Linked DNA regions of Arabidopsis thaliana. The protein of the gene in region 2 interacts with the protein of the main gene of each other region in a pairwise test. Each region holds a gene or a part of one and is shown on either strand. Other genes may lie near its edges.

Region 1 (3,752 bases), on a different chromosome or scaffold from region 2:
GTAAGACAGCTTAGTAAAGTCTATTTTAAGTGATTTAATTTGAACATTTAAACATTTTCGTACGAGTTACCAATTATATATTTCTAACTGAATATTTCACTCTGTTAATTTTTCTGTCAATTGACTTAACGACGTGCTTAAAACGACAAAATCAACAAAAGTTATATATTAATTCTAAAATCAATAACAAGTTTGGTATTTTAGTGGTATTTTGGAAGTTGGGGATTTAAACGTACCAAATTTAAAAGTTTATGATTTTTTTGACATTTTTTCAATTATATATTGAAGTGTTCTAAGATAAAATCATGAGCCTGGTAAAAAGTTTTTGTATCTTACCTTTTTTAGGTAGCTGTTTTTCTCTATTTTGCTCATCATTTCTTAAGATTTACAGGTTGTAAAAGGCCAAGACTTAGTGAGAATAAAACTGTTGGAAGTAATTATATTTATTTTAAAGTCTATCAAAAATATCATAATCTTAATACAATTTGTAAGAAACATTTTTTTTTTGGGCAAAACAATTAGTAAGAAACTTGTATTCAAAATGATTAGGATTTTGGAATGCACACTATATATATATTATTGTCACTAAATCAAACCAAACCAAATAGAACAACAGTCATGAGAACAATTCAAAATGAAATATTTATTACAAGTTTACAACTATATAATAGTATATGATTTTTTAGTTGGAAAGATTCATTTCAGCTTTAATGGCAGCAACAAGGTGATCATAAGCCTGACCCCAAGCCACCTTCATCTCCGGTGACCACATCTCCGGCACTGCCTCCTTTATCGTCTCCAACAATGCATACTTGGCCACCTGCAGTTATAAATCATTTTTACATCAACCAAAAAAAATCAAGTTAACATATTTGTATGATAAAGAACATTTTGAGATATGACAAATAACTACTAACCTCAAAGTGTTCGTCAACGACACCGTATTTAGAATGGCTGGCTCCAAGTCTCTTCAAAGTAGTCTCCCTCACCGTAACTTTCCCTGTTTTCCTCAGTTGTACTGCTGATTCACAACACTGATAATAAACCCCAAAACTCAACAATCTTTGATTCGAATATATAAGCAAAATCATGTTATTTGATATTGATTATTACCATGACAAAAACAGACATTGCGTGAGGCTTGAGCTTTGGATTTTGCTCAGCAGGAATTGGTGAGTCTCTCAAGAAAGAGAACATCTTCTTCGTTGTTGGTGCAATCTCAAAGATCCTACAGTTCAAAATAGTAGTTCATATCTCAGACTATATACATAAAAAGAAAATAGAGAGAGATCAATGGGATCATTACTTACTTGATGAAGAGTTTGAGACCTAATTCAGCTGAGTTTTTCTTCATGACACTCCAAGACTTCACTACAAGAGCCTCTTGCTCTTCTGTGAACACAATCTTTCCTTCACTCTCCATAATATTTCACAACCTCTAAATGATTTAAAGTATACAACTCTCTGTTTTGTAGATCTTACTCCAATTATGAAAAGTATCCTATATATAGGTTTTGATAAAAGACCCTTTTGTGTTACCGAAGAGACAGTTCTTGATAAGCAAGTTTAAGATAAAGTTGCTTGGTTAAAAAGTGAAACCATGTGCTCTGTACTGGTAATGGAACATAGTTTGTAATGGTAGGCTTGACCAATTATTAGTCAAAACACTAAAGAAAAGTCTTTTAGATCTCTTTATCTCATTAATTTACTTATTTATGTATTGGCCAACCACACCAAGTGGTATAAGTTGGGATACACTGAATCTATTGATCAAATTGGCAGAACAGAGATTATACTACTCAAATGAATCTCTCCCTCATCCAATTTATTTGCACAACTATGAACAAAACTTGTGAGAGTTATGTAGCACCATGTGGCTTTCATATCTAAGAGGTAAGAAAAGGTTGAAACTTTACACACTGAATGTCAGGCAATGAACATTACAGAGGAGGGTGTTTAATTTCTTTCAAACTCAACCGTATCCGTAAGTTACATCGCGTTTCGCTACAACAGAGTCAAATGGTATTTCGACTCTTTCCTTAACAAGGCACCGTGCTTCTCCATCTTCAATCACAAGAACTTTCCCTGGTGGACATTGGTTAGGTGTTCTCTTCCCTCTGGTAGCTCGGTGCGGGAGAAGTCCAAAAAGGTTCAAGGAAGCGCCTCTTTTCCTCATCTCTGGACCATATCCTGATGCAGACAATAGAGAGATAACACCGATGATTGGAAGCACGATCTTTGCGACAGAGCCTAAGAAGCGAATAACCCCATGACTCGAACCTCCAGATCCTCCGTTGGGACTTTTCGCCTCTGCCTCGTTCCTCACATGTCCTGAGCCGAACCCATTCGCATCCGATTTCTTCTTCGAAGGTAAGTGAGATAGGTAACCATTATTATTATCTAAACCAAGGGAGAGAGGAGGATGGACAGGATAAGGAGGAAGTAAAAGATCATTCTCATAATCAACTCTTTCACCAGCAAAAGTCGTAGTCTCACGTAACACTTCAAAATCTTTCCCTTTGTACTCCTTAAGCTTCTCAAGCAACATTTTCCTACTGTAATCAATCTCAGAGAGAGCCAGTTGCTTCTCATATTGTTGTCTTTGCCTTAGATTCTGTTCACCACAAACCAAAAACCATCCCCACATTAACCACCACCAAGACTTGAAGCAATTCAGACATTATAGACCAGACTTGAAGCAAAATTCAGACTCAGTTTCAGTTAAAACCAGAACCTAACACTTTCAATGTTCAATACTACACTAAAAGCCAGAAACTTGATGAGAAGCAGAGGAATTTTTTAGGGTTTGGTTCAAACCTGTAAAGAAGCAATTCAGACATTATAGACCAGACTTGAAGCAAATTCAGACTCAATTTCAGTTAAAACCAGAACCTAACACTTTCAATGTCCAATACTACACTAAAAGCCAGAAACTTGATGAGAAGCAGAGGAAATTTTTAGGGTTTGGTTCAAACCTGTAAAGAAGCAAGCTGAGACTCAAGAGCTTCAAGAGCATCACGAATACGCAAAAGCCGTTCAGCTTCTGCTTCATCTACATCCTCAGAGCTGATTGAGTCAAAATCCTTGTCTTGATTCCCAATAATCTCGCTTTTTCTTCCTTCTCCGGGAGAAAGATCCTCGTTTCCATCGCCGTTGTCGCTGACGGTGGTACTGGAGTTATCGATACAATCGCTGATCTTGAGTCTGAGCTCGGTGGCTCTGGCTAAAATTAACCCGATGCCTTCTTCGTCTTCCATCGCAGAGATTGAGGAAAAGAATTTGGGGGTGGAGAAATTAGGGTTAGGGTTTTTGTAAGGTAGTGGTGGTGGGGAAGAGAAGAGAGACAAGTAATTTGGAGTGTTTGGAGTGGATTTGTTTTGTGGTTGGCTTAACTCAGATTTTCAGATTTGTTTCTGCTGCTTTCCCGGTTTTAATCAACGGCCACAAAAAATCAACAAATTTTTATTGAATTTATTTAAATTTGGGGAAAAAATGAAAAAGAACCATAAGAAATTTGGAAGAGGCCAATTTTGGACTCTAACAAAGATGACAAATCTGACATATCATTCTACATAAATAAAATAAAAGAATCTGTGTACTAAAATATAGACTTCTATGTCAGAAAAAACGTAAATTTTAAGTTATTATTTTTTACCGTCTAGATTTATTATTTATTATAAATTATAAAAATTATCGTAGAATCGTTTTTGTAACAATTCTTTTTCTTTGAACTATGGTTAGCATTTTTTTGT
Region 2 (3,752 bases):
ATGAGAGAGGTATGAATCATCAGACCGATTAACACCCATGTTACAAGTATATATGATCACAATGCTTGAGATCACTTACACTTGAGAAAGCACTATGAGAGTATGCAAGACCTTCAAGCCTAATGGGGAATTTGACATCACATGAGCCTACAATGTTCTGTATCTTAAAATCCTGCAAAATGTAATCAGCAATTTTATTACTAGACTTTATACGTAATTTTTCCTTCCGATAAAAATACACACGAATTGTTGATTGAGATAAAAATGAATAACACAGTGTGTGCTGGATCAGGACCAGAGAGAGACATATGAGTACCTTGAACTTTGCAGGAAAGCCAAGCTTTTGAACAATCCGAGCATACTGAACAACAAAAAGGAATTCTTTAATATAACAGAGAACAAATACCTACTAGAGCTGTAACAAGTTTCTAACTACAGTGATGCTAGAAGAAGAACATCAGACAGTATTGAGATGAGCTAGTTTACCTTTCTTGCAGCAAGCTTTGAAAGATGTTCACTTTTAGCTCCGGTACACACCTAATATTGGACAGCATAGATGCCACGTCAAAACAAGGACATGGAAGATTAGGCCATAAGAGAAAAAGTGACAAAGGAAAACATACCATTTTCCCAGAAGCAAAAATTAACGCTGTGGTCTTTGGCTCTCTGATCCTCATGATTACAGCAGCGAAACGCTGGAACATAAAACACAGATTAAAACCAAATCCGAAAATACAAACCAAAGTGGTGGAGACCAAACAAAATGATCGATTACTAAAACACGAATATCACAAAGAAAGCAAAACCTTGGGGTTATATTCAGCATTCCTAGCTTGCAAAGCTATGGCTTTAAGATCAAGCTTGCAGTCTAAGTTCACTGTTGAGACAATATTTCTGAAACAAACCAAAAAAGAAAAAGGTAAGATCTTGTGATTCACAAAAGCACAAACTCAGAATCTTAAAACAGAGACACAAAAGAGAGAACTCACTGAAGAGTAGGAACAATCCCTGAAGGATGTTTAGTAAGGTCAACTGGCTGGCTCCCTTCCGTTCCTTGATCAGCCATTCTCTAACATAAGAATCAACGTAAACACACACACATCAGCTATAAATCTCGTCTTAAATAGGGCAAAACAGAAACTCATGTCGATCCAAACCAACAAGCATCCACGAAACAAAATTGTTTTCAAGCTTTACAATTTCATTGACCAAATCTGGTTATCTAAAAACCAGTTTTGATAATTGAAATCTAGAAACATTGTTTCACAATCAAACAACGAAAAGCTATGAAACACACAACTTCAGAACATGAGATCCAATTCGTAACAAGCAACTACGAAGAAACTCAATTCAGATAAAATCCGTGGAATTGAATCCATTAGGAACAAAGGGTACGAAACAAAATCAGACCTTTCGCTAGTTAGCAATCCGGAATTTCGAAATCTAGGGTTTCGTAAACCCAACAGATTGGAAGAAATTCCCCCGAAAAGGCGAAAGGAAGGTGAATGATTTGAAAAAGGAGAAGGCTTTTTATACAAAGATAAGAAATTTTTAGAGAGGGAAAGAGATTTGTAAATTGGGATTATATATAAAGGAGAGAGTTTTGATTTTCAATATCGCTCTCTGGGTTCTCTCTCTGGGGATGAGATTTGTGATCTGCGCTTTGGATCTGTGGAGCTTAAGGACACGTTATTACCTCTATATACTTTCCTAAACTACCCTTGCCTCTCTTTGTCGGATGAGGGTAATTATGGGAATTCAGCTTATTAGATTTTAATGTTACGGTCTTTACTGGAATTTTAGGGAACCGTCCACTCTTTGTCTGCCACGTGTTCTATTACAGAATGTGTTAGCATACGTTTTTTTGTTGGATCTATATGTAAGACTATAACTCAAGACACGTTCACAAATATGAATCGAGTAGAGACTATGAATCGCCACAACGACGGACTTATTACAAAGCAGTAGATTATCAATTATTGCATGAAGGTGCCAACTAAAACTTGTTAGAGATCATCACTCATCAGTGTCCGGGTCCTTTCTGACGAGTACGTGCCGATTCACTTCGTCTGACACCAGCTTTTAGATTATCAAATTGTTGTGCTCCATTTCCTTCCCCTTAATTTATAATAATAATAAAAAAAGAGATTAAGAACTGAATATGAGTTTTGTTTATGCGTGATTGTATTTGTATGATCAAAGACGGTCACTTACTCGGCAGAGTTCGGCCCATAGTCGTGTTGTACGCGGAGACCAAGAGAATAATCAAAGTGATTAGGGATAAAACCTGACGATTCATTACTTCTTCTTTTGGATTATGACTAATCTGAGAGATAATGTAATAAGTTGATACTACAATACTTATATATATACAAGGAGATTTGGTGAAACGTTAATATATTAGTATATATACTATATCAAAGTTAAGTTCGTTAATGTCAAAAGGTTCGTTAATAGCGCATAAAGTTGGTAACTTTGGTCGCATTTTACACATGTGAACTCTAGCTTTTATAAATTCTAATTAATGTTTACGCGTAAACAAAAGATTACATGGTAATGCAATCATGGATTAACACAAGGAAAAAGCATCACTTCATTAAGTTTAGTAAAAGACATCATATTTTGTTTTGGATGACGACATATTAAACGAGTCGGTCTAAGTAATTAGGCATACAATATTATACAATTCCATTTCATACAACAAAGGTGATGAATGTTAAATTACTTTTTATGTTTAAATTTATAATTTATTACCAACACAATTCGTACTACAGCCACCAATCTTGTTATTTTACCATTAAGGCATTAATTTAACAAACTAAGTTGCAAAAGTGGCTTTGGTTGACAACAAAAAACACACAAGCGACTTACAGAATCCGGCAAAAGATTTGCTCAAAAACAATTAAAAAAACACAAACTGAAAGATATTTGTTTTCCAAAGATGTAGCATTCAACCAAATCTGAGAAACTTATGTACAGACAAAAGATCAGATTTAGGTAGAACCGAGATTTCATGATCACACCAAAAAGCTTATGTTGCTCAGGGAACATGTCTTAACTAGAATCCGTTGGTGCATTGCTATCTTGCGACGAGGAGAACAAGGTGCTAAACGGCCACGGGATCGAGAATCCGCTTCCGTCATTGTTCTCGTTCTCCTCCTCCTCCTCCTCTTCTTCTTCTTCTTCTTCTTCTTGGCGCCGGTTTCCATCGCTGTTCTCAGCTCCATGGCTGGTTGTAGCAGAAGCACTACTGCTTCCATTGTTATCGCTCGTTGTTGTTACTGAATCAGTCTTGGCTTCATCTGCAGGTAACTGATATCTGCAAACCGGGCATGAACTGTGAAGCTCAAGCCATGGTAACAAGCAGTCACTATGAAACTTGTGCGTACAGGGCATCAGCTTTGCCTCAGTTCCAATCTCAAAATCATCTAAACAAACCGAACATTGCAGAGTCTCTTCGATTTTCACAGTAGCCAAAGCCTCGACAGCTTCTTTTTTAGCAGGAGGTGTTCCATATCTGTTGGGATCATTCTCAGCTAGACGTTGAAGCAACATTTCAAATCCAGGACCAATGAAATAGTCACCTAAAGAACCAGCAGGTACAGAATCCATATCAGCAGAGTTTTGAACCGTGATAGTCTGATTGGAGGTATTGATCAAGATCACCCGTCCCGGATTATTACCTCCATTACCAGTACTCTCAGATTCTACAGACAACCCTGCTCGTATCCCCTGAAGCAACTGCAAAACAG

Evidence for each region.
Region 1: the proteins of TBP2 (region 2) and HB1 interact in a two-hybrid assay, tested with the Arabidopsis thaliana proteins (one study listed by BioGRID).

Annotation. Positions count from the first base shown.
Region 1 is NC_003071.7:6,982,100-6,985,851, forward strand, and holds HB1 (hemoglobin 1), read right to left. Parts: upstream 1,679-3,752; 5' UTR 1,424-1,678; coding exon 1,311-1,423; intron 1,229-1,310; coding exon 1,114-1,228; intron 1,035-1,113; coding exon 918-1,034; intron 821-917; coding exon 683-820; 3' UTR 432-682; downstream 1-431. Other genes in the region: PDV2 (plastid division2), read right to left, coding at 1,973-2,614, 2,976-3,257. UniProt on the Arabidopsis thaliana protein: Phytoglobin that reduces nitrite to nitric oxide (NO) under anoxic conditions (e.g. during flooding or in waterlogged soil). May not function as an oxygen storage or transport protein.
Region 2 is NC_003070.9:20,726,418-20,730,169, forward strand, and holds the start of TBP2 (TATA binding protein 2), read right to left. Parts: upstream 1,675-3,752; 5' UTR 1,411-1,674; intron 1,070-1,410; 5' UTR 1,067-1,069; coding exon 990-1,066; intron 895-989; coding exon 807-894; intron 696-806; coding exon 624-695; intron 538-623; coding exon 487-537; intron 362-486; coding exon 317-361; intron 173-316; coding exon 80-172; intron 1-79. Other genes in the region: AT1G55530 (RING/U-box superfamily protein), read right to left, coding at 3,055-3,752. UniProt on the Arabidopsis thaliana protein: General transcription factor (GTF) that functions at the core of the DNA-binding multiprotein factor TFIID.